Astyanax mexicanus: one gene and its partners. The protein of the gene in region 1 purifies or fractionates together with the protein of each later gene. This does not show direct contact. Links are inferred from orthologs where the notes say so. Each region holds a gene or a part of one and is shown in the gene's direction. Other genes may lie near its edges.

What was found. Proteins that work in one complex are often made in the same cells at the same time.
Region 2: the proteins of yap1 (region 1) and rapgef2b purify together in Homo sapiens (affinity purification with mass spectrometry; 3 studies listed by BioGRID and IntAct, with this or other methods). This does not show direct contact. The link is inferred for Astyanax mexicanus from reciprocal best matches to the Homo sapiens genes YAP1 and RAPGEF2.
Region 3: the proteins of yap1 (region 1) and ddx17 purify together in Homo sapiens (affinity purification with mass spectrometry; 3 studies listed by BioGRID and IntAct, with this or other methods). This does not show direct contact. The link is inferred for Astyanax mexicanus from reciprocal best matches to the Homo sapiens genes YAP1 and DDX17.
Region 4: the proteins of yap1 (region 1) and pdlim7 purify together in Homo sapiens (affinity purification with mass spectrometry; 3 studies listed by BioGRID and IntAct, with this or other methods). This does not show direct contact. The link is inferred for Astyanax mexicanus from reciprocal best matches to the Homo sapiens genes YAP1 and PDLIM7.

Annotation. Positions count from the first base shown.
Region 1 is NC_064416.1:3,554,718-3,562,028, reverse strand, and holds the start of yap1 (transcriptional coactivator YAP1), read left to right. Parts: upstream 1-4,309; 5' UTR 4,310-4,833; coding exon 4,834-5,034; intron 5,035-7,311. UniProt on the Homo sapiens protein: Transcriptional regulator with dual roles as a coactivator and corepressor. Critical downstream regulatory target in the Hippo signaling pathway, crucial for organ size control and tumor suppression by restricting proliferation and promoting apoptosis.
Region 2 is NC_064417.1:26,717,763-26,725,194, reverse strand, and holds the start of rapgef2b (rap guanine nucleotide exchange factor 2), read left to right. Parts: upstream 1-4,427; 5' UTR 4,428-5,109; coding exon 5,110-5,178; intron 5,179-7,432. UniProt on the Homo sapiens protein: Functions as a guanine nucleotide exchange factor (GEF), which activates Rap and Ras family of small GTPases by exchanging bound GDP for free GTP in a cAMP-dependent manner.
Region 3 is NC_064412.1:31,361,797-31,369,593, reverse strand, and holds the start of ddx17 (probable ATP-dependent RNA helicase DDX17), read left to right. Parts: upstream 1-4,792; 5' UTR 4,793-5,254; coding exon 5,255-5,310; intron 5,311-7,797. Other genes in the region: ntan1 (protein N-terminal asparagine amidohydrolase), read right to left, coding at 39-92, 188-261, 639-747, 2,243-2,308, 2,525-2,627, 2,717-2,797. UniProt on the Homo sapiens protein: As an RNA helicase, unwinds RNA and alters RNA structures through ATP binding and hydrolysis.
Region 4 is NC_064426.1:2,414,831-2,422,515, forward strand, and holds the start of pdlim7 (PDZ and LIM domain protein 7), read left to right. Parts: upstream 1-4,680; 5' UTR 4,681-4,832; coding exon 4,833-4,853; intron 4,854-7,685. Other genes in the region: cltb (clathrin light chain B), read right to left, coding at 19-68, 2,162-2,300. UniProt on the Homo sapiens protein: May function as a scaffold on which the coordinated assembly of proteins can occur. May play a role as an adapter that, via its PDZ domain, localizes LIM-binding proteins to actin filaments of both skeletal muscle and nonmuscle tissues.

The DNA of each region.
Region 1 (7,311 bases):
AGTTACCTGAGTTAACAAACCTGCTACTTACAAGATAAGAACTAAAATTAATATTAATTAAAAAAATAATAATATTAATAAAAAGTGCAGTTATCGCAAAAAACATCAATAACATTAAAATGATGAAACTGGCACTCATCAGGACCGCAGCAGAAAAGGAAGAGCAAGAGTTTCCACTGTTGCAGAGGATAAGTTCACCAGAGTTACCAGCCTCCCCTTGTGAAAAGAATTATACTTAAACTATGCTAAAATAGGTCTGTACTTAACCCTTGTGTGATGTTCATATATTTGCAAAATTAAGCAATTTTACATTAAAATGCTTTACACATGCTCGCTTCACCTAAATTGCAAGCAATATAAACAGCTTACATGGTTAATATTTGCCCTTCACCTTTCTTATGTTACATTTCTTTCAAAAAAGTGCTACTCTTTTTTTTATTAGTTTTTTAATAAAATGTAAAAGAAAATGAATTAAACTCAAGATATGAGTAGAAACTTTGTTTAGTTTCAAATTTACAAATGAAGCAATGTTTATTAGCCCTTGGCCAAACAGACTGTATGTAATGTAAATGTGTATGTTATATATAATGATATTTAATACAATTTAAGTATATTTGTGTGAAAAAGTTAATTAAAGTATACATTTAACATCACATTTGAAAAACAAAAGCAACATATCTCATTGCAAGAATTAGCTGATAAAGTTATTTTAATTACACACAACTAAAGCGAACTTTTTTTTTAAGCCTAGTTTTAAGACATAAAAGTTTAATCAGCACAGTTTTCATTTGTATGAGCAACAAAAAATATATGTTTTGCTAACAAATTTCTCTGAAGTATAGTTTTATTGCAGAAATAAAGGCTCCTATGGCACATTTAGTAAAAGTAGTATTATTATAAGAAGCAGTTTTCTAAAATAATACTAAGGTTTTTTTTTTTTTTTTGTATTAAGTACATCACCAGTACGAAATTAGCACAGCCAAATAAAGTATACTGAAATATACTTTATATATATATATATATACTTTAATTATCTGCATATAGTTCAAGTACACTATGATTATATTTAAATATACAGCTTTTTCACAAGGGTCCTAGATAAGGTCAAAGCTTATTTTAGTTACTACATGATTCTTTATGTGTTCCTTCATAGTCTGCATCACTTCACTATTCAGTTACTATGTAGGACTGAAATTTAAGTAAAATTCCAGGTCTCAGGAGGATATTAGTGTTTTACTGAGTGATTAACATCAATGAATGTTAATTTAAGGTTGAATGTTGAAATTATACGTCAGGATAATGTCTAATACTGTTTGTAACGTGCCTGAAGGATACATTTGAAACATTTTAAGTGCAGTCACCGCAAAGACCGTCCAAAAACGTTATGATGGAACTGGCACTCATCAGGACCGCCCCAGGAAAGGAAGAGTAAGAGTTCCCTCTGTTGCAGAGGATAAGTTATTATAGACTGGGGCAGGTCTGGTAGGTGTCAGGCCTCTAGTTATCCTGATCACTGTTTCAGCTCTTCAGTTTATAGAGAGTCTGAAGAGACGAAGAGAATAAAAGAACTGAAAGTATATAAAAGTAAAGTTTCTCTTGGATTCTTCACGCTCTACAGTTATACACCCTCTCTCCCGGCTCAGGGTTCAGGAAGACGGCCTGGCTCGCTCTTTACAAAACGATTTCTGAAAGCGGAGGGAAGGGGGATTAGCATCACAATCATGGGAACAGCATGGAGCACAGCGGAGGCAGAAAAACCATTTATTTCTTTATTTTTAAAGAGCGGCGGCTTTGAAGTGCAGAGCTCTGTTTATTTTGGGTGAATGAGAGCAAAGACCAGCCTGCATGCAGCACCAATTCACATAAAACTCTATAAAACTCAATAAAAATCAGAATAAAACTCTGATTTTCTGCTTTAACACAAGCTTTGTTCTGCAAATGTAAGACCATGTGACCCACCATCACTTATACATACAAATATACATACACGGTTTATGTTTTTAAAAGTTTTTTACGTTTTTTTTTTCATTCATTAAGGCTTTTCAAATAAAATAAACCTTAATAAGGCACTTTTTCACATATTGTAAATAGTTTGATTTCTACTAAAATTAAATTCCAGTCCTTCCAACAAAAATATACAAAAAATAAACAATATATCAACCATTTTATTCATTAAGTAAAATCAGTTATTTTCTTAACTGTTATAATTTATATTTCTTCATTTATGAAGACTTTTAAAATAAAACAAATTAAGGCAATTTTTTTCACATATTGTAAAGAGGTTGATTTCTATTAAAATTCAGTCTTATCAACAAAAATATCCAGAAAAATAGACAATATATCAGCTATTTCCCTTTGTTGAGTTTTTATTGTTAAAACATATATCTTTTTTAAATAAAATAAAGCACTAACTATGTTCTTTAAAATTATGTATATATATTTTTTTTTATTTAAAAATCTGTTTTTATTTATTTGTTTGTTTTTTTGCTTTAGATTTTTTGTAACATTTGAAGCACAAACTGCACCAGAAAATCAACATACTTTAATTAAAAGTAGGTTATTATATCATTAGAGTTAAAGCCACAAAATTATATTTTTCTCCCTTGATAATTTAGGGTTTTTAGAAGTATACAGGTATATGAATATTTACCCTTTTTTTATTTAAATATTTGATTTTTGGTAACATTTGAAGCACAAACTGCACCAGAAAATCACCACACTTTCATTATATCAGTGTAAAATACTATTTTTCTGTTATTCTGTTATTATTTAATGTTATTCTAGAGATTTTTTTAAGAGAGTTGAAGCAACAGGTAACAGGATAACAAAATACACTCCTGTTACATGGCTGGGTTTTGTTTAATCGCTATTTTAGTTTAAAATAAGTAAAGTAAAGTAAGTAAAATAGAATATTTAGATAATTAAACTGGATAAGTTTAATTTTAGCTGCAGTTATAAGAAATTATAAACAACAGCCTGTGGAGTCTTTAAACGCTCCAGTTTAGCCCCGCCCCCTTCTAACTCAGCGGTCACGTGAGAGTCAAAATCCATGAACTGAATCATTCGTTTGAACCGATTCACGAGTGTAAGGGAATGTTGATGTGTTTTATATATATATATATATATATATATAGAAAGACAAAAAAAGAAACTTATGACCCTTAACTCTCACAAAAATAAATAATGCATAAATTATTTAAATAATCAGCATGATTTAAAAAAAGGTGTTTTTAATAAAAGTATCCATAAAAAAACTAAAAAAAAACGGAACAATGAACATTGGAAAAAGTAAAAATCATTAAAAACAAAAAACAGATCAGGAGTCAGGAGGGACTTTTATATATATATTGTTAAGAAAAAATAAAAATAATGTATAAAATAATATTTAATAGTATTAAAAAAGTTCCCTTAGTTTAATAAAATGAGATCAACTGATTTATTAAAATTTAATTGAATCTAAAATGTTCTCCGTTGATTTAATAAATAACTTCCTCAATTCAATACATTATCTCCTTACTTTTACGGTATATAAAGCATTTATAAGTCAATTTAATAGTCCATTACCTTTATTTAACAGCTATTTGATTTTAGCCAACAATTTAATTTTAAACGTTTCATTTGTATTTGTGTGTTTAACCTTTTATATTTTATATATTCTTTTTTACACATTGTTTTTCATTTTAATCTTTAAGGTTTTTTATTTGAGATATATTTTATTTTATTGTTTTGTTATTTATAATATGCTTTAATATGCTTAAAATTGTATGAAAGTAATATTCCATGATGAAAAACGAACAATTTAATTTTTATTCTCTCTCTCTCTCTGAATCTACATCTCTGAGAAGTACATACAAAAAGCTTTTATTACTACTAAGTAGATAAAAAAGAGAATCCTATGTATAACAGAGTGTTACCAATAAACGCACATCACTGTAGTAAATCTGAGTATAAAATAATTTTACCTGATTTTTTTATCTGATTACTGAACATTATATCTCAAAAAACAGTGAAACTAATAGAACACGAATATTCCCCTAGAAGAGCAGTTACTGCAAATAAAAGTAAAAATACTTTTTCATCCCTCTATCCAATCGCTTATTTTTAATTGTATGGTGATAAAATGAAAAATTTTAATTTATTAGGCAGAAAGTTTTAAGTGGCAGCTGGAATAATATATTTTATTTGTTTTGGACGTTTGGTAGATTTGTAAATCCAAGCCGAATCGATTCTTTGAACCGGATCTTTTTGTGAAGAGTCGACTCCTGAAGTGACTCGGAGTTCCTGAAGTCCTGCCCAGAAAGTTGGGAGTAAAGTTTGGGAGAGCAGTGATTTAGTCTCACACTGAACCGAGTCCTGATGTCCGGAGCCGAGAGGAAGAGAGACTCCGGGCTTTTTACCACTTTCAGCCTGAATATTTACTATTTTAACGCTTTAATACAGTTTAATTCGCTGTTTTTATACTTTTAAAACTTTTTTAAACTGGATTTTAACGCAGTAACTGCTGGATAGAGAGATATGCGCGTGCCCGCGTCGCTCGGCGCGTCCTCGCGAGTCCGCAGCAGCAGCAGCAGCGAGTCCGAGTCTGCGGTTCTGAGTTCGGTTCTGTTTCAGTGTTTTTCTGGCTTTATCTCAGCAGAACTCGGGTAAACCCGGGCGGACCGGATCCGGAGGACCTTTATCTCGGTGTTTCCGCGCGTTTCTGGAGTTTACGGGCTGAATTTCCCCGAGTTTTTACACTTTTAGTAAACTTTTCCAGGCCTGCTCCCCCTCCCCTCCACTCCTCCACTCCCGCTGCTGGAGCTTTTTACAGCTGGTCCTAATCTTCTGGCAGTTATGGATCCGGGCCAGCACAACCCTCCCGCCGGGCACCAGATCGTGCACGTCCGCGGGGACTCGGAGACCGACCTGGAGGCGCTGTTTAACGCCGTGATGAACCCGAAGAACGCCGCCGTGCCCCCGTCCGTCCCCATGCGCATGAGGAAACTCCCAGACTCCTTCTTCAAACCTCCAGAGCCCAAATCCCACTCCAGACAGGTAAAAACACACTAAAACTAACTAGAAAACACTAAAAACTGCTTAAAAACACACTTATACACTGCTTAAACTGTTAAAATCGCACTCCAGACAGGTAAAGACACACTTAAACTAACTAGAAAACACTAAAAACTGCTTAAAAACACACTTACACACTGCTTAAACTGCTAAAATCCCACTTCAGACAGCTAAAACACACTACAACTAACTTTAAAACTGCCTAAACTGTTAAAATCCCACTCCAGACAGCTAAAAACATACTAAAACTAACCATAAAACTGCTTAAACTGTTCAAATCCCACTCCCGACAGGTAAAAACACACTAAAACTAACTATAAAACACTTAAAACCGTTTAAAAACACACGTATACACTGCTTAAACTGTTACAAAATTCCACTCAAGACAGGTAAAACACACTAAAACTAACTTTAAAACTGCTTAAACTGTTACAATCCCACTCCAGACAGGTAAAACACACTAAAACTAACTTTAAAACTGCTTAAACTGTTAAAATCCCAAGTGAAATAAAACAATTAAAACTGTTTAAAAACATACTTAAACACTTCTTAAACTGTTACAATCCTACTTCAGACAGGTTAAAACAGCCTGAAACTAACTATAAAACGCTTAAAACAGCTTAAAGCACACTTGTACACGGTTTAAAACTCTGCTAAACTGTTGGAAAATAACTATAAAACAGCCTAAAAACACTGTTTAAAATAGTTTACCACAGTTTCAACTGTTAAAATCCTACTCCAGACGGGTAAAAACTGCCTGAAACTAACTATAAAACACTTAAAACCACTTAGAAACACACTTTTACACTGCTTAAACTGCTAAAATCCCACTCCAGACTGGTAAAAACAATCTAATACTAAGTACAAAACACTTAAAAGAGATTAAAAACACTTTAAAATACTTTACCACAGTTTAGACTGTTAAGTCCACTCCAGGCAGGTAAAAACAGCATAAAACTAACTATAAACAGCTTAAAAACACTGTTTAAAATGTTTCACCACAGTTTAAACTGTTACAAACCCACTCCAGACTCCAATATAAACAGCCTAAAACTAAATATAAACTCATAAAACAGCTTAAAAACACAATTATACACTGTTTAAACTGTTAAAATCCTACTCCAGATAGATAAAAACATGCTTGAAGCATTATAAACACTTTATTTTAAGTTTGGAGTTTACAGCTACAGACAGTCTTTCTTTTTCTTATATAAGCTAAATGTGTTTTATACACACTCGGACTAAACCCATGCATATATTAATTGAGAGAGTGATATAATTTGGTTGTTTTAGTGTTTTTAAATGAGAACTGAATGAAGGAGGGAGGTGTAGAATAGCAGTATTAGATTTAGTGTTGTGTTGAGGAGTTTGGGAGTGTTTTCTGCGCATGCTCACCCCTCCTCCTCCTACTGGGCTGAGATTTATCCAGTTCAGCCTCCTCCTCCTCCTCCTCCTCCTCTTCTCAGCAGATCAGATCACTGCAGGAAACCCTGCGCCTCCATATCTCCACTCACTTCCTCTACAGATACACTAACAGAGCTCCAGTTCAGACTTACAGCAGAAAAACAGCTGATCTGATCTCGTAAGTCATATATATAAATTCAGCTCTGGAATAAAATGAAGAGATCACTTCAGTTTCTGAATCAGTTTCTCTGATTTTGCTATTTATAGGTTTATATTTGAGTAAAATGAACATTGTTGTTTTATTCTATAAACTACAGACAACATTTCTCCCAAATTCCAAATAAAAATATTCTCATTTAGAGCATTTATTTACAGAAAATGAGAAATGTCTGAAATAATAATAAAAAGATGCAGAGCTTTCAGACCTCAAATAATGCAAAGAAAACAAGTTCATATTCATAAAGTTTTAAGAGTTCAGAAATTAATATTTGGTGGAATAACCCTGGTTGGTTTTTAATCACAGTTTTTTTCATGCATCTTGGCATCATGTTCTCTCTCCTCCACCAGTCTTACACACTGCTTTTGGATAACTTTATGCTGCTTTACTCCTGGTGTAAAAATTCAAGCAGTTCAGTTTGGTGGTTTGATGGCTTGTGATCATCCATCTTCCTCTTGATTATATTCCAAAGAAACTCCTAATTTTTAAGTGTCCTCTTATTTATTTATTTATTTTGTCCCCGAGCTGTATATACTTGGGCTGTGTATTAACAAGAGCTTGGCGATACAATAAAAATCACAATATAGGGACTATGATTTAATATATTACAGCATATTGTGATACTGTAAGCGATTGCA
Region 2 (7,432 bases), on another chromosome or scaffold:
TCATGGACTCATCTCAAATTTATTTGCATGAGACAACAGGATTGAAGCAGTTAAGGTGAAAAAATAAGTATGGTGTGAGTTGTATCTTTAATGGCTTGTGTAATCTGCCTATTCTTTTTAGAAATGACCATCATATAGTGTCTGTGTTTCACTAGCTCCTGTGTTTCACTCCTGATTTCTCTGTAGGCCATTCTGATGTTAAATCTTGTGGTAAAAAGTAAATGTATGTCCTTCCTGTAATGTTTGGAAGTAGGTACACTAAGCAATATTTAAAAGGCTAAAGTTGAGCGTTTTGTATATCTGGTATCAGTGCTGAAATAATGCCACACAACTAAGTAGCTAACGTGTACAAACAGGAAAGAGATATAAAAGACATGAGACATATATATAGGTGGAAAAAAAGTTTGTTAATATTAGCATGAAAAAATATATACTAACAATAACAACAAAAAAGGAATCAACGTTTGTTAAAAAGATGCTCGTAAAAAGGTTAAATTTAATGTTTTATATTAACTTTACATTATAATAACTTTAAATGTTTAATGTTAAAAAGCTAGACATTATTATATTTAATATATATATATATATATTTAATAATATTTACATTTATTTGTAAAATCACCAGAATGACATATTTAAACATAAGTCGTTTAAAAATAATTAATTAACTTTATAAAATATAAAGAACATTTAAAAAAATAAAAAAATGTAAAGGAAACTAAAGAGAAATAGAGAGATACATACAGAGAAAAATAAAGTTGTTTCTTGCGTGGTGGTTCCCAGTCCTCTTCTGTGAGCACGATGCAAGGGCCCTTGTGCTCGTTGTCCCTGTCTGATGGAGGATCCAGCTGTCTGCAGGCAGATGTGGCAAACCTAAAGACAACCGAAAATGAACATAATCCTTGGACTATTTAAAATAAAAAAGTACAGTAAGAAATGAAAGTTTTTGAATTTATTGTATTTGAATGTTATTTTTTATATCTATGTAATGAGAAAAATGATGGTTAATTGTTCATTGTATAATATTGAAATGTTATAATCTTTAATAAGGTCTATTTAAAAAGGTCTATTTAAAAAGCAGAGTCTCCAGGTCAGTTCCACGAAGCACAGGTGTGCAGCATGGCTGCGCAGACGCCACACCCAGTACTCGACCCTGTCCTCCCACTCGATCGGGAAGAAAGAGGGGTAGAACAGGCCTGCAAATAAACAGAAAAACACAAATAACCTCATCAGTGCTGCTCAAAACCATCTCCACTCATTTACTGATCAGTCAGGTACAGCTGCATATGTACAAAGAGAACCAGATTAAAGAAGGGAAAATAAGATTAGTGAGATTAGTGTAGAAAAGTTGTTTCTTACAGTAAAAAACGACACAAGCGGTTGGTCTGGGGAAATGGGGTGGTGCTCCTCCAGCCAGTCCAGGTAGTCCAGCAGCTCCAGCCCTGAAAAAAAACCTGGAAAAGACATGGTGAGAAAAGCCCTGATAGAAATGAGGGAACAAATGTGAGAATGAGTGAGAAATGTGTAAAATCTAGTGAGAAATGTGTAAAAAAAAATGAGTAAAAATGTGTGAGAATGTAAATAAGTGAGAAATGTGTGAAATGTAGTGAGTGTAAGAATTTGTAAAATGAGTGAAATGTGAGAATGAGTGAAAATGAGTGAAAATGAGTAAAATTTGTGAAATAAGTTGAGGATAAATCGCAGATCAAAGTCGCTTGTGTTCAGCCTTGAACTTCTCAGTCCAATCTGAGCTTCAATCATTAATATCTAAACATTTTAAACCAAACGCTTGCTTAGTAACACAATGCGGCTCAGAAATTAAATAAACAGACTTGCCAGATTGTAAAGAGACCTATGAAATCCGTTTCATTTATTTATTTATGTATTAATTAATCAATTAATTAATTTAGTAAGTTAGTTAGTTAGTTAGTTAATTTTATATTATGTATATGGTCTGTAGTGAGATGAGATTGAGATGAGATTGAGATGAGTCCAGCTACAGGCAGGAGGTGGAACACCTGGAGGATTGGTGCAGAGAAAACAACCTCTGCATCAATGTAAAAAAGACAAAGGAGATGATTGTGGACTTCAGAAGGGGCAAGCATGCCCACCTCCCCCTGCACATTGGAGGATCTGCGGTGGAAGTGGTTGACAGCTACAGGTACTTGGGTGTGCACCTGACCAGCAACCTCACCTGGAGCAACAACACTTCCACTCTGGTCAGGAAGGCACATCAGCGGCTCTACTTCCTCAGGAGGCTGAGACGAGCTGGACTCGGGAGCGTAGTCCTCACCTCCTTCTACAGATGTGTGGTGGAGAGCGTCGTGTGCTCCAGCATCAATGTGTGGCATGGAAGCTGCTCTGCTGCAGACAGGAAAGCACTGCAGAGGGTGGTGAAGGCTGCACAGAGGATTGTTGGAGTTAGCTTCCCCAGCACCACAGACATTTACACCTCCAGGTGCAGGAAAAGGGCCACCTGCATCAGGAAGGATCCCACCCACCCAGCACATGCACTTTTTGTCCCACTCCCCTCAGGCCGGAGGCTGCGGAGCATTAAGTGCAAAACAACAAGACTCAGAAACAGCTTCATTCCGGAAGCTGTAAAATCCGTGTATCATTCGTTCATTTGATATTCAATTGAGAATCAAAATCGGAAAATTAAAAAACCAATTCGTTTTTTCGTTTTTTCGTTTTTGAATATAATACCAAAAAACGAATAACGGCTTGTATTTTGTATTTTTATTTGGTTATCCAAACAAAAATTGGAAATTTAAAAAACGGACCAGGAGCCGAATTTGATTTTGATTTTGAACTTGACCCATTTGTGTGCCCCGGAAGTTACTGATTTGTTTATTCTTGGTGGGTTTCTGTTGCGCGGGAGTTCACTGCAGTGTTATCTACACAGTCTGTATTGCTGTAGGCTTTGGATGGAGTTGAGGATGGAGAGTTTTATCTTGTTCAGAGGAACTAAACGCGTTGCAGTGAAAGAAGACGATATGACAACAGAAAAAATCGGCAGGATCTTTCAGGTGTTTGTCTAACGTTCCGTAGCTAAATGTCATATTTAGTTAATACCTTCAAAAAGATCTTTAATTAGGCCAGAATGTGGTTCCAGTCCGGCCATGCTGCCTACAGCAATACAGACTGTGTAGATAACACTGCAGTGAACTCCCGCGCAACAGAAACCCACCAAGAATAAACAAATCGGTAACTTCCGGGGCACACAAATGGGTCAAGTTCAAAATCAAAATCAAATTCGGCTCCTGGTCCGTTTTTTAAATTTCCAATTTTTGTTTGGATAACCAAATAAAAATACAAAATACAAGCCGTTATTCGTTTTTTGGTATTATATTCAAAAACGAAAAAACGAAAAAACGAATTGGTTTTTTAATTTTCCGATTTTGATTCTCAATTGAATATCAAATGAACGAATGATACACGGATTCTGTAAGACTCTTAAACTCCACTTAACAACACACTGCACTGACACCAAGGACAAATTACTGTTTACTGTTTACCAACATGGTCACTTTACTTGCACTGAGACACTTTATCTCCACTGCTCTAATTCACATTATCATGCTGCTATAGCACACTTGCACTCTGGACTTCATGTTGCTGAACCTTTCTACTCTCTATTTATTTTTTTTATTCTTGGGATATTTATCTATCTATTTTGTATATTCTATTTCTTTTATTGTATTCTTTTTTTATCTATATATCTATTAATAACAGCTCTTTGGGTGTAAAACTGGATCGTGAGATCACAATTTCGTTCCACCTCATGTACCACATGTGTGCGAATGACAATAAAATCTCCTTGAATCCTAGTACATGCTCAGGTCGAGGAGGAAAAAAAGGCCAGGTGGCGTGCTTTTCCTATTTGACAGGTTACATTCAGGTCGCATGTCCATGGATTGGATACGTATTTGATTTAGGACCACACATGAAAGTGATTCAAATCTGATTAGAAAAAATTCTAGCAATTGCAATAGGGTTTCAGCACCTGCGGGGCTAAAAAAAAAGGTTACACTGGCTGTTACATCTCTCAGCTCACCAACCAGTTAGCACTAGTAGCAATAATGCTAGCGTCTGTACCCTCTAAAACCTGTTTAATGTAGAAAACCGAAAATACATAACCAGGTTTTCTTCACTTTTTAGCAAAATACTACAGTATATTTTGTAAAATTAAAGAAAATGTTGGGCAAATAGTTTATTACTAATTTTGAATTTGTGTTTTTAGCCGTATAGCTCCATTCATTCCCATTCGTTGAGGACTCACTCGCGGGCTCCCTCTAGTGGTTCTCAGTAGTTTTCTGTAATAACGGGGAGATTATAGAGAGTGGGCAGGCTCTCCATAAACCGGCTGTGGAGCTTCTGAGCTACCGTGACTTGAATGGGAATGGACTCGCCCATGTAGCTCCGCTCTCCCGGGGCGGTCACCATGGTGGTGGTGGGGGTGGGATACAACAGTGGAGACGGCAGACAGTTTGTCCAAACCTTTATTTTCATTTCAGCATAAAATAACAGCGCGTCTGTTGATTAATGTGTTTAAACATCGTTTATTTTAGGAAAAGAAGGAATGGACGGAGTTTTAGTACTTAATTTTGAGTGGTTTTGAAATGGAAACCCCCCAGAAATGGAAGCGCTGAGCGGGGTGAAGGAGTGTTAGGAAAATGCCTATTCTCCAGCGTCTGGAAGAGGAACGGGGAGAGTACGAGTGACCGCGGCTCCGCGGCTCTGTCAGCCCCTCTCGAGTGAACCCTGGCCGGGCTGCGACTTCAGAGGGCTCGCCTACCTGCCTGTTGTTAGCTCCGTCACAAAGAGCAGCCCCAGAGCGGTGCGCTGTAGGGTCGGGACCGGGCAGCGGAGGAGGAAAGCCCTGGGCTCGGGCCTTGGGCAGGCAGGGCGGGAGGGAGTCAGTCTGCGCGGCCGCTGAGGAGAAGGAGACGGGCGGGCACTGCTGCCGCTCCGCCGCCTCTACTGCTGAAGCTTTTACCGGAGCTGTTTTTCTCGTGAGCTTTACGAAGACAGGAGGAGGAAAGAAGAAGTTTCCGACTGGATTTTAGACTCTGAACTGTACAGAATAATCCCAAACAAAGCAAAACAATGGCCTCATACGTGGATAACAGCTTTCGGCAGGCGGTCATGATGAATCCGGCTGAAAGGACGCAACAGGTCAGAACGGTTCCTGCTGCCTTTTACATAGGCATTATATCACTGGCTCCTGCTTTATAGTGACTCAATTTCCACTATTTCCACTGTTTACACTGTTTAACAGCTAGCTGTCTGTCTGTCTGAGGCTTAAGTGTTATGTTCTCTTTAGTGTTAGACTGGTAATTGGCTGTAAAGCTGCTGGTAGCGGTTGTAACCTATTCCCGTTACCTTCTGTCACCATCACTATTAAGATTAGGCCTGTCATCATGATTTGGTTAAATCTGGACAATATTTAATTCCAGAAATAATTATATTATTCTCATTTTAAACCATTACAATCTATAATTCTATAAATTATTGCAATAAAGGATATTTTTCTAATTAAACAATAAACAATATTCTTCTCATTTTAGGCTATTCCAATATATTGTTCCAGATATACCTGCAATAAACAACATTACGGTCATTTCAATACCATTGTGTGCTACTGACACTATTTAATTTATGCACTGTTAAAAAAAGAAGTGGCAGATCAATTGAAAATCTTGAAAACAAGGATTTTTTTTAGTGCATCTCTATTTATACCACTGATAAAATGATAACAAAACAGCTTGTTGTTGTAGCTATTTTTTTCGGACAATGTATTATCATTATATTGTCATTGTCATTGTGGTCATTTTAAGGCCACTTAGTGCAATTACACCTATTTAAAAATCAATGAATATTTGTAATTGGTAAAGAATATTTAGACATTGGCAATGGAATTTCATTTTTTAAGTATCCTCAATAAATTAAACACTGTTATAATAAAGCAGCAATTTTTAAACAAAGTCTTATTCACAGTAAGATCTTGGCTCTCCCTTGCCAAAAAAAAGATCATTGGCAATATTGAGATGAGCAATATTTGTTGAGATCATTCCCATTCTCATTCATTGTATGAAAACTCGATGACATCATTATTGTGACTAGACTATTTGACATAATATTTTACACCAATGATGGAAGCTGCCTTTTCGTTTTATTTTTGAAGGACAAGGCTTTTCCAATCACCCCTAGAGTGGGTTAAATGAGTCTGATACATGTCCATGTTCTTTTTAATGTGAAAGTCACATGTATGTTTTAGCATTGCTATTGGGCGAATTAAGTGTTAAGTGTTGAATATAAGTGTCATTACTATACTTCACTATATCTCCACTTGTTCTTCTTATTTTGTCCTCCCTAGCCAGCATCTCTGCATCCCTTTCATCCCCAGCACCCACAGCATCCTCCCCATCTATCCTTTGTCATGAACAGTAGCAGCAGCAGCAGCAGCAGCCTTATTACTGTTTTTTCACATAGCAACAGCTTTGAATCGATGACAGTGGTGGATTTTTTGGCACTGTAATTGTCTCTATTTGCATTGACTGTGATGGTTTGCGATTCACCGATCTGGACAACAATAGGCTTCCCCAATCAATACCAATTAAATGCTGCTGTAGCAGACATTGGTGGCGATGGGCCATAGGTTATTCTGTCTGTCAGAGATCTGATACCATCCCCTGCATTTATTGGTCTGAATTAAGTGGACTAAACAATGCCATGGTTTATTGGGCGCTGGAAATGTCCGTGCTCTTAATGCAGTGTGCTGGTTTGACGTGTTCCCCTGTGGCAGGCTGTGGGTGACAGGTGGGAAAAGCCAGAGATTTTGACAGTCGATGTGTGAAAAAGGTCAGCGGGGGAGGCCTTTGTGAGTGTGGATTGTTTAGCCTGAGACGAAGAAATATTGGGATTTCTTTCAGAAACAATAGTAGTATCTTCACCCTCTAGTTGATTTTCTGATATATATATTAGTTGCGGGAATCACAGGGCATCTCACAATGTAATATTCTCATAATCCATTCCCCACAATAACAATGGTATCACAATACCGTGATTCTGCAATACTCGATGTACCGTGTGAGTATTCTCTATTATACTTCATGGCATATTTGTTACTGAAGAAGATAAAATACTCCTAAATAGGCAAATACCAGGATTTATTGATTTATTGTTGTCAGTTTCACAGAATGTAACAAACAATATTCTTCACTACATGTTTACACTTTAAATAATTTGACTGATTGGGGAGTTAATCTTAGCGAGTATAGAATTCCTTGGTTTCAATAAAATATACACATTTGACGCCATATAGCAATAAGTTGAAATAAAATAATTTTACTGTTTTAATATATTTTATTTAAGTTTCTTTATCCTCCCTCCTTCTATAAAGTTTCTATTTTAAAGATACTAGGATTTG
Region 3 (7,797 bases), on another chromosome or scaffold:
AAAAATACAGACAAAACATACAGAGAATGTTAACCTACCAGTAATACAGCAGGTCTCTAAGTGAATTTCGTCCTTCTGCTTCTGAAAGGCCGCTGTGAAATAAAGGACACAAACACACTCACACTTAACAAGCCACAAGATTGTAGCCTACATGCTTTTACCAAACTGAGATTTGCACTTTACCTACCTAGTATAGTAAGGCTGAGTGTGTGGGACGTCTTGGAGTCATCATCAAACCCCCCAACAAGATGAAGCTCTAACCTGAATAAAGCAATAATACATTTAGTTCTGATCAGTTTCACTGATGTTAATAAAGGGTCTATACCACAGAAAACCAAACATGCCCCAATTTTAAAAAATGTGTAAAATAGAGCTTTTAATCACTACTAAACGCAGTTTTTGGTGTTCACTCAGTCCATACTGTATACCCAACACATCCTTTGACCTATAAGAGGTCAAAAAAGGTGTTCATTTAAGACTAGGGCTGGGCGTCATTTTAAAACATTGATATGATACCTTGAATTTGATGCAGAATTCATTACCTTTTTCTAAATTGTGAGAGGAAGCCTGAGACACTTGATGATGTGTCGACAGGAAATGAAGTGTGGCTAAATCTTTAGATAAAAATAAATGCCTACCTGCCCTCCTTTGCAGGGTTGCTTAAGGATGTGACAGCGTTTACAAGGAGAGGAACTTCGGTGAAAGTGCTCGAACCATCACAGTGAGCCAGACAAGTCGCTCCACTGCCTTTAAGGAGATGTAGGGTTGTAAAAGATCTTTTCATGCAGTTAATTTTTTTTTATTGTATTTTTACAATACATATATTAAAGAAGCTTAGTTGGGACATTTCGCTGCTCAAGTTCTCAAGAGTCTCTGCACAAATCATCTTTATACTAGGATACATACGTCTGCTATGTTCTTGCTGAGTGTGACGTGACGTGCAGGTGTTATGGATCGTGTATAAACCAATAGGATGTCAGAATGGTATATGTTTATACTTCTCATCCAACCACAATCAAATTTTACCACACTTTATATGTATAAATGGATTTATCTGGATAGGGTTCAAAACAATGGAATAAAAAAAAACAAGCTGAAATGAAATGGGAGTAACAAGGCTATTTTTAAAATATAAGGAGTAGAAAGTACAGATAATTGTGTAAAATTTAAGGAGAAGAAGTAAAATGTTATCTGAAAAATATTAATAAATAGATAACCAACATTTAAACTCAAGGAAAGTAACGAAGTAGTGCATTTTACAAAATGAGAATACCATAGAAAAGTTATTTTATTTCAGTAGTTCAGTTTAAAATGTGAAACTCATATTTTATATAGCTGTATTACACACAGAGTGATCTATTTTAAGTGTTTATTTCTTTTATTGCTAATGATTATGATTATGGCTTACAGCCAATGAAAACTGAAAATTCATTGTCTCAGAAAATTAAAATATTATATAAGACAAATTGGTACTTTTGGCAGTGTGCCCAGTGTACCAAGTTCTGCTGGAAAATGTAATTCGCATCTCTCTCTGCACTTGGACTTTGGACTTGAAAGAACACAGTGGACCAACACCAGCAGATGACATGTCTCTCCAAACCATCACTGATCATCAGTTAAATTTGCATTTCATTTTAAAATCAAGGGAGCAGAGTCTGGAGGAAGACTGGAGAGACACACAGTCCAAACTGCTTGAGGTCTAGTGTAAAGTTTCCACAATCAGTGATGGTTTGGAGAGACATGATGTCATCTGCTGACGTTGATCTACTATGTTTTATCAAGTCCAAAGTCAGTGCAGAGTTTTCCCGGAAAATCTTACGGCACTTCATGCTTCCCTCTGCTGACAACTTTTATGGAGATGCAGATTTAATTTTCCAGCAGGACTTGGCACACTACCAAAAGTACCAATTTGTCTTATATAATATTCTAATTTTCTGAGACACTGTTTTTTGGGTTTTCATTGGCTGTAAGCCATAATCATCAACAATAAAATAAATTAACGTCTAAAATAGATCACTCTGTGTGTAATACATCTATATATGAGTTTCACATTTTGAACTGAATAACTGCAATAATGTAAATTCATTTATTCTGAACATTTTTTGAGTTGAAGTAGTATAATTTGTACTTCATTATTTGTTTTACTTCTCTGTTGGATTAAGGCTCAATTTAGTAAAGGAAACCTGATCTACATTCAACTTGGCCACTTAGTGCTAGTTTCTCTTTAAAACTGGGTCTCTACCTGTGTGCCGCAAAACCACAAGGTGACATGTAGTTGCATCTCCAGAGCCAATGACCGAGACAGAACCTGTAGAGGAGACATACCTCTCTTCAGAACAGGAGATAGATAACTACAGTAAGATAAACACAGTCAAACTGTAGAGACAGACTTCAGAACAGGAGATAAGTAAGTTTAACTACAGTCAGATAAACACAGTTAAACTGTAGAGACAGGCTTCAGGACAGGAGATAAATAACTACAGTCAGATGAACACAGTTAACCTGTAGATACACAGAGACTCACTGTCCGCCGGTGTCGTGGCTGCGAATTCTCTCTGCTGAACGTAAAGGAGGCGCTTGGGCTCGACAGTCAGAGCGGGTCTGGACCGGAACTCTTTGGCGTTTTCCTTTAAGAAGCAGAAGCAGGTTTTAAACACTGGGATCTGAGATCTGTTACTCGAGCTGAACTGCTGTAAAGCGGAGAAACGTTACTCACCTTTAGATGAGAATATCTGAGGAACAGGTCTGTAGTTGAAGTCACGCGCTCGACCCGTCTGTTCTGAACCAGGAGGGGCATTTTAATATTTTAATCCAGTCGTTAACTCAACATGAAGCTCTAAATAAAGTTCAGCATTACAGAGAACACACTCTCCTCACTATTTAACTAGAATCTGTAATACAGTACATCCAGACAGCCTGAGAGAACCGGTGTTCTGTCCAGTTATGATACCCATCGATACGTGCTTCCTAAAGGCACTGCACATGCGCTAACCTACACTTTTTGATTATTTATCGTGTTTTTTTTTGTGCATTAAACAAATTGAACTCACTGTCATTGCAAAAAAGTGTAAATGTAAATTAATAACAATAATGAATACAATAATTATTATAAAAAATACAAAAGCAGTTTGTAATAAGCTCTCGTTGCCATAACTTTACCATGACACAGTGATTTATGCTGTATCCATAAATACTAACGCAACATTTACTGGGATACATTCCTACTGGGAACATGCTCTAATATGGGGCTTCTTTATTTTTACAGTTAAATATACACTTGGGTAGCGCGGTTTGACAAGGTAACCCAACTCGACAGAACACCGGAGCACTTCCTGTATTTTCACTTCAACGTCATGACCACACATCAAGAGACCAGTGTTTTTTTTTATTTAGTTTTTTGGCCAAAATTGTGTTGTTATAATAGATAGAATATACGTGCAGAAGGGATAACAACAATAAAATGATATAAAACATGAATTTAAAAATAGTTAATAAATTGCTACTGTTTTATAATTTTGTACTTTTTTGCTTGTATTATTTTTTAATATGATTTTGCTTAATGCATTCTGTGTAAAATATGTTTTCATTAACCGCAACTGCGCAGATTTCTTCAGTCTACGCAGGAAATATACGCGCAGTCTCTGCAGAGCTGGTTTATGAAGAGAGCACCCACTTCTTATCGCTACCGTTATAATCACAGAGAATTGCTGCCCGCCGTTAGGGGGAGCCCGCAAGAGAGTCCAAAATAAGTGGAAGATAATGGAGCTAAACGGCTAAAAACTCTGATTACAAATAGTACATTTCCGCTTAGCCAAGATATTGCTTTAAATTTGAAACGTAGGATTATGTATTTTACTACTAAAGCAAATAATACACGTCTATTTTTCAGTTTTTCTACAGTAATAATATTTTAGGCAGTAAAGACGCTAGCATTATTGCTACTGTGAGCTGACTGGTTGGTGAGCTAATACTGGAGTTACAGCCAAAACATTTTCTAAAAAAAGTGGAGTTTAAAAGCTTTGTTCTGTGTTGGGAAAATGAGTACATTTTAGTATAAAAGTTGCTCCATATGAACACATTCATTTTGGACCATAGACTCTCTGTTTTGGACTCACTCAGGAGCGCCCCCTGGTGGTCAAACAAGCCTGGAGGAGATTCTGAAGTGAATTTTCTCCTCTCTATAGAATCTCTGGTATCTGCTGGTGGTGTGCTGCTTTCGTACGTTACCCGTCGCAATCTGCACCCTCTAGGTTTCGGTCTGGGCGGGCCAAAACACCTTTTAGTTGTCGCTTCAAGAATTTGACTAATTTTACTATATAAAGCTCATCTCATTTATCTCATATAAATTATTAAAGATAACGTGCTGACTGAACTACCTTCAACACACCTGTTTCACCTGTAAACACAGAAATGACTCAAATTAGTATTTTAATTTCTCTTACTGTTGCCCTTCTTGATGTTTATCAGTTTCCTCCCTTTAATACATCGTTTCCTCAATTTCACAAGAAATACTCTTTATTTGAATAGTCTTTCCCTCAGATTAGAGGGAAAACAATTTTCTAAATTTAAGAAATTGTTGATTAATTTGGGGACATTATTTATTAATTATGATAAATATTATCTTATATTTTTCCTTGATAATTTAGAGGTTCAGTAGTTCGCCTTTTAGAGTTAGGATGTTTCTGTGACAACAACGACAATATATAATCGACACAATTTTGAGTCAAGCGCAAACAACAGCCCTCTCATTGGGTCCTAGGGGTGCAGTTTGTGTCGGGGTGCGGAATTCGGCACCACACTGGAGGATAGGGGGCGGGTCTTCGGCCTTCAGCGAAGCAGTCGGACTCTGACAATTCGACGAATTGTTTATCGAATAAAGTTTACATTTAGATCAATTTTATTTGAAGAAAATCAAATAATTCGGTTGGTCGGTCGTTATTATTCGTGCATTGGTCGATTTTAGACTTGCAGCCGGATTTTCTGAGGAGCTTCACGATTGAGACTGTAGTTAATTTAGAATGCTAAGCTAACAGTTAGCAAAACAACAACAAACACAAACCCAAACCCGAGTTCTCAGCTAAAAGTTGAGCTTATTTTTAAGTTTATTCATTGTTATCACTTATAAAGTGATATTTATTATTTTTCTAGTTGGTTTACTGAATAATTTACAGTATAAAAATATCAGTCGTTTAGTGGCTGGTTAATTAGTTAAATAGTTGCAGTGTAAAGTGGAGTTTGTGTAAAATTCTGTAAAATGAGGGGAAGTTCCTCGTATGGCGATAGAGACCGAGATCGTGGACGCGACAGGGGGTAAGAACGAGTTTCTGTGATTTAGATTGTTTGAGTATTTCCGTTTCTGAATTTCCAAATAACCCCAGTAATCTACACAACCTACAGAACTGTATTTGATGTAGTCTTTAGTACGAGGCTGAAGTTGGTTTGATATTCGCAGCTCCAGATTCGTTTGGCTCGATATTCGCAGCCTCGTATTCCCCGGCTGAAGTTGGTTTGATATTCGCAGCTGCCGCTTCACTGAACCACCGTGAACTAAAGGGAGCGTTCACAAACACCCGCTGTTTATATTAAACACCTCACAGATCAACACTGAAGGAGATAGAATGAAGAAAAGCAGTACATCTGTTTATTAACAATGTAAATATACAATATATTATTAAATATAATTTTGTATATTGTAAAATATTTGTTTTAATTACTGAATTTATAATTATATATTACAATAAATAATTAAATATATATTTAATATAATTATATTTTAAAAGCCATTGCGCTCAAAAAATATGAGGCAGATGTTCAAGTGTGATTTTGAAGAACTTTTTCATGTTGGGCCAGAACAAATACACATGATCTGAAGAGTACTAGTCTTCTACTTTAAGAAAAACCTGGAATTAGCCTGGCCCAAGCTGATTTTATACTTTAAAATGAACTGGCAACATAGCCTACCAATCCATAATGCACAATTTTTTTATGTAAAGCTGATGTTCTAGTGTAATTTTGAAGGACTTTTTCATCTTGGGCCAGACCAAATACACATGATCTGAAGAGTACTAGACTTCTACTTTAAGAAAAACCTGGAAATAGCCTGGCCCAAGCTGATTTTATACTTTAAAATGAACTGGCAACATGGAATACCGATCCATAAAGCACAATTTTTTTATGTAAAGCTGATGTTCCAGTGTGATTTTGAAGGACTTTTTCATCTTGGGCCAGAACAAATACACATGATCTGAAGAGTACTAGTCTTCTACTTTAAGGAAAACCTGGAATTAGCCTGGCCCGAGCTGATTTTATACTTTAAAATTAACTGGCAACATGGCCTACCGATCCATAATGCACAAAAAAATTGAATATAAAGCTGATGTTCTAGTGTGATTTTGAAGGACTTTTTAATCTTGGGCCAGAACAAATACTCATGATCTGAAGAGTACTAGTCTTCTACTTTAAGGAAAACCTGGAAATAGCCTGGCCCAAGCTGATTTTATACTTTAAAATGAACTGGCAACATGGAATACCGATCCATAATGCACAATTGTTTTTATGTAAAGCTGATGTTCCAGTGTGATTTTGAAGGACTTTTTCATCTTGGGCCAGACCAAATACACATGATCTGAAGAGTACTAGTCTTCTACTTTAATGAAAACCTGGAATTAGCCTGGCCCAAGCTGATTTTATACTTTAAAATGAATTGGCAACATGGTATAACGAGCCATTTTGCACAAAAAAGCCACTGTTCCAGTACAATTTTGAAGATTTTTTAAATCTTGGGCCAGAACAAATACACATGATCTGAAGAGAACTAGTCTTCTACTTTAAGGAAAACCTGGAAATAGCCTGGCCCAAGCTGATTTTATACTTTAAAATGAATTGGCAATATGGAATACCGATGCATAATGCACAATTTTTCTTTATGTAAAGCTGATGTTCCAGTGTGATTTTGAAGGGCTTTTTCATCTTGGGCCAGACCAAATACACATGATCTGAAGAGTACTAGTCTTCTACTTTAGGGAAAGCCTGGAATTAGCCTGGCCCAAGCTGATTTTATACTTTAAAATTAACTGGCAACATGGCATACCGATCCATAAGGCAGAAAAAAGTTTAATTTAAAGCTGATGTTCTAGTGTGATTTTGAAGGACTTTTTAATCTTGGGCCAGACCAAATACACATGATCTGAAGAGAACTAGTCTTCTACTTTAAGGAAAACCTGGAAATAGCTTGGCCCAAGCTGATTTTATACTTTAAAATGAACTGGCAACATGGAATACCGATCCATAATGCACAATTGTTTTTATGTAAAGCTGATGTTCTAGTGTGATTTTGAAGGACTTTTTAATCTTGGGCCAGAACAAATACACATGATCTGAAGAGAACTAGTCTTCTACTTTAAGGAAAACCTGGAATTAGCCTGGCCCAAGCTGATTTTATACTTTAAAATGAACTGGCAACATGGCATACCGATCCATAAGGCAGAAAAAAGTTTAATTTAAAGCTGATGTTCTAGTGTGATTTTCAAGGACTTTTTAATCTTGGGCCAGACCAAATACACATGATCTGAAGAGTACTAGTCTTCTTCTTTAAGGAAAACCTGGAATTAGCCTGGCCCGAGCTGATTTTATCCTTTAAAATGAATTGGCAACATGACATGAAAGCCATTTTGCACAGAAATAATGAATATAAAGCATTGATTTTGAGAATACCAGAACTCTTCATCTGATGTGTATTTGGTCTGAAAAAAAATCCAAAATCATACTGGAATATCAGCTTTAAATAATATTTTTTTT
Region 4 (7,685 bases), on another chromosome or scaffold:
GACACCATAAAAACACACCTCAAACATGTCTCCGTTTACTGCTGCAGCAGGTGCTTCTCCAAACGCATCTGATTTAAGAAAAGAAGAGAGACAGACTGTAAAATCCTGTGAGTTCTGGTCTTGTTGAGCAACGCTTTTCGTATTTCCTCTCAGAAGAACTACTAGTAGAAGAGGAATGCTGTAAAACCTGCCCGGCTATATGACTGTTACTGAGTCCTATATGTAAACCAGAGATGAATGATCAGCTTGCTCATTCGGTGAGGTGGCAACAGACGTTATTTTAACAGAAGTTTAAAAGCTCAGGTGTACTACAGTAAGTAGTGTTAATATACCTTATATAAAAAGTGCTGAAAACACTGAAACCTAGTGGAATACACCAGCGGATATTCTACCAGGGACGTTGACAGTCCAGATGTATTACCCTAAATGATCATTACATTAGAACCTACCAGAATCTTACAGTAATTATGTTACCAAAAGTTTAACAGTAAAGATGTAATATACTAGTTAACTAACCAGGTAGAGAAACGCTCACAGCATTGGAATCTACCAGAACCTACCACTACCACCACTAAAGATACACTTAGTATATTCCACCTTAATTGGAGTTTAATGGAAACTGTCATTTCCATTGTCTTCACTAAACCTAAAAATGTTTTCTCTACAGCTCTGGAAAAAAAATTGAGACGAGTTTCTTTGATTTTTAGCAAATTGAAAACCTCTGGAATATAATCAAAAGGAAACCAAATTGAACTGCTTGAATTTTTGCAACAAGAGTGGCATAAAGTTATTCAAAAGCAGTGTGTAAAACTGTGATTAAGACCAGGATTATTGATTTCTGATTTTCTTTAAACTTTATGATTATAAATATGAAAGGCCTGAAAGCTTTGCTTATTTTTTGTTATTTCAGCCATTTCTCATTTTCTGTAAATAAATGCTCTGAATGACAATAAGTTAATTTGTAATTTGGGAGAAATGTTGTCTGTAGTTTATAGAATAAAACAATGTCCATTTTATTCAAACATAAACCTACACATAGCAAAATAAGACAAACTGATTCAGTAACTGAGGTGCTCTCTAAATTTTTTTCAGAGATGTATATATCCCATTAGTTTATACACACTTGTGTGCAATATTTTCAAGATTAATCAAGATTAACGAATCCTTTTTATTAAAATCACAGCTCAGAACAAAATAAAGTGTTCATAAATTTACAATAAATAGAAAAATAAATAGAGAAGCAGTATTAAAAGGAGAGAACGTCACAATTTTTATAAATTACATTTGTATCCAAGGTATCAAACTAATAATTTACTGCTAACTCACTCTGCAACAGCTTCATCCACCAGGCAGTCAGACTTCTCAACGCACAGAGACAGAACTGAACCCCCACCCCACCCACCACTCACCCAACACACTCGCACAAAACTAAACTGTACACCCCCCCCCCCCCCCCCTTTACACTCACAAAGAACTGAACTTCACCCACACACACACCCAGTCAGCACACAGAGGCTGACATGACTTTATTTGCTGCACTCTTAAAAACTATAAACTCTACCTCAGTAACTGCTGTGATTATATATGTTCTATATGTTACAGTATGTCACACATCTCTGCACCTTATCCTCACTATACACTTTATTATACCGTATCGGTACTGCACTGTCCTGACTTTAAATTGTCTCGTCTTTTGTATTTATTGTATTTATTGTTATTTAGTGTTATAATTTTATAATTTTATGTTGCACTGTCGTCACTCCTACACTTTATGTTGTCTATTGCTTGTGGTTCTATGTTGCACCATGGTTCCGGAGGAACGTAATTTCATCACACTGTGTACCTGTACTCAGATGTAATGACAATAAAAGCCTCTTGACTTGACTCTTGATTTGAACAGCTGGATGCTGTTTAGCGTTAGCATTAGCTTGCTAGCTTGTTTAGAAATTGGTTAATTGTTTTGTATTTTTTAAGCGCTTTTAAGGAGCCAATGTGTGTCTTGTTGGTGTTAAAACGTTAAAATCCTGTTTTCGCTTTATTATACCTTGTTAAATTAACTGTATCGCCTTGTCCAGACTCTTTTTATCTGTGTAGACTCTAATGTTAACAAGCTAAGCTAAGCTAACAGGCTAACACGCTATCACCCAGACAGACGACGTGCCTCCGCTCGGCCCCAGGCCGTCCGCCTCGCTCTCGATGCCGGCGATCTCGCTCTGCTGCTGCGCCAGGAAGGCCGCGGCCGGGTCCTCCTCAGCCTCGGCGCCGTTGGAGAAGCTGGAGAAGCCGAAGTCGTCGGCCATCTTCACCGCGGCGAAAACACCTGCTTTATTCCTCAGACCTCGGCCGGGCTCTCTTAGGCTCCAGCTGTGGCTTTGTTCAGGTTTAAACGCAGGAAAAACAAGTTAAATAAATATGTTGAAAAAAGAGTTGGTTTATCTCCTGAATCGAGCCGGACTCTTAAACCAGGTCAGCTGGAGGTTAATTCGTCCCTTTCGTCCCAGAAAAGCAGTAAAAACAGGGACGTGGAGGAGAGCCGAGGTCAGAACTCAGAGAGGAGAGTATAACTCTAACGCTGGGGCTGATTGTATGGTGTTGTGTCTCCATCTGCTGGAACAGACTGAACACACATACAGTACTTAACTAGTGGTAAACACACTCACCACAACCTTTATTGTTATTATTAGGAGTTTATCACTATGCTTTAAAGAGGCACTAAACCCTAAACCACGGTTTTTATTTATTTATTAAAAATTAAAATGTGTTACTCTGAAGTAATTAAACATGTCATTCCTGATTAAACATTTCCTAAATGTTCTTTATTGCAGTCATTTCGACATCTACAGCACCTTCTTATATTTAACTTTGCTAAAGGCAAGTATGATAATATCGCCCCCCTGGTGACGTCCAGAGGCACACTGCTCACTGCTCAGCCCAATTACCTCTTCCTTCTGCCCCGCCCCTAAACCCATACATCACTGCAGTGCCCCTCCCAAACTACCCCTACCATTTTTTTTTAGCATTTTTGAATCAGCCAAAATCAGCGGGTTCATGCTGCCTTCAAGTCCTCCTCGTAAATTCCTACTTTCGAGGTTGGAGTTCGTAATTACGACATGCGTTCAAGTGTTTTTTTTTTTTTTTTTTTGTCAGGTGAAAATGGACGGCATTAGGAAAATACTTTTGTTTATACTTTTGTTCTGTTTGGTCTGTAGAGTGTGTGTAGGGAACAGATAAACCTCAGCATAAAGTGTATAGTGTATGGGGAACACAAAAAAAGGAAAAAAAAAATCTGGGAATTTTTTTAACCTTTTTTACATGTGCTTGCATTGTAGGTGCATTCACTTTTAAAACTACTTTTTACTTAATTAATTCTGTAATTGAGGCCAATTTAAATAAAAATACAGAAGCAATTTACAAAATGGGGGGTTTTGTTTTATTTTATTCATTCATTTTTAGAAATTCATTTTAAATACTTTTGATAAAATTATTTACCTTCTCTGTTATGTGTTTATTGTGCCAATTAATTAGTATTGTGAAAAAGGTTTATATATTAAAAGACAGGTTTTCGTGGGGTTTCCTGATTCACTACGTGACTGTATGTGTGTAATACGTGTATAAGTGTGGCTTAGAAGTTCACAGTATAAAGGTGCACGACACACCTTGTTTTTTTACCCACCCGTTTACGCAAAGCCACGCCTCTGCAAACTTTTTAGCCAATAAGAGTGCGAGGCTATCAGCCCTCACACTCTTTCAGCACACTGGGGAGGATTGAGTTCTTATTTTAAATCCTAAATGGACTAATTTAAGGAAAAAAATCAGCTTTGGTTTTACACATAAAATATTGTCAATTAAGAATGTTTAATTCTATAAAGAGCCATATTTACAAAAGAAATATGAGTGTGGTGTGACAGTTAATATATAACTGTTGTACTGCCGTGTATATATTGCACATAGTTGCACAGTGAAAAAAGTGAAGCAAATAAGTAAAATAAGTATAAGTTAAAGGTTTCATATTTAAAGGTTTAAATAAGTGAATGTTAAGATTAATAACTAATATAAACTTTTTTATACAACAAAAATGATTATTTATGGAACAAAAAATGATTCTACTTGTGGCACTGATAAAAGTCCCTATTTTAAGATATTTGTCATTATGTAAGAAAATCATCTTCAAATGACTTAGTATATATAAAAATAATAGCCTAATATCTAAACATAATTTAATATTCCAAAAAAATGAGATAGCATCTAAACTAGTGAGATAGCTTCTAAAAATAATGAATTACTTTCTCAAAATAATGCCATAGCATCTAAAAAAAAGAGAATTTATCTCAAAACAATACATTAGTATCTCGAAATAATGAGATATCTAAAGATAGTAAAATAATGAGATACTAGCTAATCAAAACATTTTTTTTGTATCTCGAAATAAGGAAATATCATCTAAAAAATAATGTATTAGTATCTTAAATTAATGATAAATATTATCTAAACAGATAGCATTGTAGTGAACGCTGAGTACAAACTTTTAACCAATCAGAGAGCTAGGCTATCAACCGTCAAGGCCAGTCAGAGGCCCGCAGGGGCGGGACATGTCGGAAAACCGGTGGGGAAAAAAATAACGGCAAGCGGAGAGCGCCGCGTCACGCGCACACGTGGTGGATGACGTATCGGTGAGTCCTGCTAAAAGTGGTGGTAGAGGGAGAGCGCGCGCTGCTGAGCGGAGTTACCCGAACCTCCACCCCGCTGAACTACAGCCTGAACCCGGCTACACTACAGCTCCAGCCCCGCTACCCTACAGCCTCCACCCGCCGCCCGCCCGGAGCCTGATCACCATGTCCGGAGACACCAAGGAGGTAATTCATCACCAGCGCTGCAGATTCTTACTGAACCAGAAAACCATAACACTCAGAGCGGAGTTTAAAACAGCTTTAACAACACTAACACTGCGGACAATCACTAACCTACAGATTTATTTATCAACAACTGCCAGAAACATAGTTTTATACTCAAAACACATCCGATCCGAGTCAACACAAAGACTTCAGTAACTGTTATCACGTCTGAGTGAAGACCAAGACTTTCTATAGCCGAGTTTGAGTCAAGAACAAAACTGGGACACAAAAAGCCTGATTCAAGACTGAGGCTTTGAGTAGTTTAATTTTAGTCACAAACAAAGCTTTTGCTAGTTTCAATTTAGTCAAAACTGAGCCTTTTAGTAGTTTAATTTTAGTCAAGAACGCGACATATCAGATGTGGGTCACAACCAAGATTTTTACTAGTTTATTCTTCAGTCAAGACCAGGATTTTTTTTGTAGTTTAATTCAAGACCGAGACTTTGAGTAGTTGAATTTGAGTCAAGACTGAGTCTTTGAGTAATTAGTCTCTGAATCTAGACCTAGACTCATGGTTGTAGAGTCTGAGCCTAGACCGACACTCATGGTATAGAGTGTGAGTCTAGACCAAGACTCAAGGTTGTATAGTCTGGGTCTAGACCAAGACTCAAGGTTGTATAGTCTGGGTCTAGACCAAGACTCAAGGTTGTATAGTCTGGGTCTAGACCAAGACTCATGGTTGTAGAGTCTGAGTCAAGACCAAGATTTTGAGTTGTCGATTCAAATTCAAGACTGAGACCAGTACACATCAGATCTGAGTCAGGACCAAGACTTTCTATAGTTTTAGAGTTTGAAACAAAACTGGGAAACTAAAAGCCCGATTCAAGACTCTTTTAGGAGTTTAATTTTAGTCAAGAACAATACTTTTAGTAATTTAAATCAAGTCAAGACTAAGGGTTTTAGGAGTTTAATTTTAGTCAAGCACAATACTTTTAGTAATTTAAATCAAGTCAAGACCAAGACTTTGAATAGTTAAGTTTGAACCAAGACTGAGGCTTTGAGTATTCAGTCTGAGTCAATACTGAGACGGGGACGCATCAGATGCGAATCTAGACCAAGATTTTTACTAGTTGATTCTAGGATTTAAAGTTGTTTAATTTGATTCAAGACCAAGACTTTTAGTAGTATTACTACAGCACTACAATTTAGCTTTAAACTTTCCTACTGTATTTCTATCTGCTTTATGCTCTTCTTTCAGGCTTCTCTACCCACAAAACTTAAAAAAAATAAAAAATAATAACAGCTTTCAAGCTATTCATTAACAGTTTCATTCATTCATACAGCTGCTCATGCAGCAGTTTACACTGTGGCTGCTGCAGTGCTGTTGAACCTCTCGGGAAGTGGTCATTACCCTTAATTACGCTTCATTGTCATTATTCTTGGCAGCCAACATGTCATTACACGACCCCCATTAGTTTTTAGGAAGGTTTGAGTTTCTCTCAGCCTGAGACAAGCTTTTTCATCTGGTCTAAATCCCAAATAGACACTAATTGGATGTATTGGGCAGTGACTTAATGCACTTAAACACATTCAGGGGGTTTGAGTTGTGTTAGATTGAGTCTAAAACTTAACTTAAATAGGCACATACTTAGTTTTTAGAAGACTGACCTTATGTACTTTTTACCCATTAGAGAGGTTTCAGTTTTGTCAGCCTGTGAAAAGGCCTTTATCCCAAAAATACACATATTTAGCATAAAAAGCATGCTAAATTGATAAAAATGCATTTTACTTTTGGTATGCACCCAACTTGACAGAATGAGTAGTCTATAAATCCCAATTTTAACACATTAAGGAGGTTTGATTGTGTAAGAATGAGGGGATAACTCTATTTTAACTATTTTAAACTCATCAGGGAGGTTTTAGTTTCTCTCGGCCTGAGAAAACCCCCATTTTAAATTTAGTCTGAATCCCAAATAGACGTAATTAGATGTGTAGGGCAGTAATGCAATTAAACACATTTAAACGCAATAAAATAGCCTCTAAATAGTTTTTAAAATAGAAAGAATAAGTTGTCCATTTGTCTAAATTCCAACACATTAAAGATGTTTGAGTGAGTTTTATCAGGCTGAGAGAAACCTTTTAATTTGGGTCTAAATTCCAAATCATTTGACACAAATGGGATGTAAATTGGTTATTAATTTGGTATTAGTGGTTGATGTGGTGCAGCACACCAATATAAGTCTAAAGACAAAATTTCTCCCAAAATTCCAAATAAAAATATTCTCATTTAGAGCATTTATTTGCAGAAAATGAGAAATGGCTAAAATAACAAAAAAGATGCAGAGCTTTCAGACCTCAAATAATGCAAAGAAAACAAGTTCATATTAATTTAGGAAGAGTTCAGAAATCAATATTTGATGGAATAACCCTGTTTTTTAGTCACAGTTTTCATGCTTTATCTTGGCATCATGTTCTCCTCCACCAGTCTTACACACTGCACCACTTACACCACTCTCCACACAGTTCAGTTTGGTGGTTTGATGGTTTGTGATCATCCATCTTCCTCTTGATTATATTCCAGAGGTTTTCAATTTGATAAAATCAAAGATTTCAAAGATCACGATAAACTAATAGTGCTCTAGTGTAACACACGTGCTACACATGTGGTTCTTCTGTTTTGTCACTAACACTAACTCTTGTAGATTCTTGATTTCATGTTTAAGTGTTGGAGTGTTGGAAGGCTTCAGTCCTGCTTATTATGTATTGCTACCAGAAAGAAGGAGAGAGTACTGAGAAGAGGTTTGACTAGGAAACTGCAACCTATACTTGCCATGCCCATGTGAACCCTGCCAT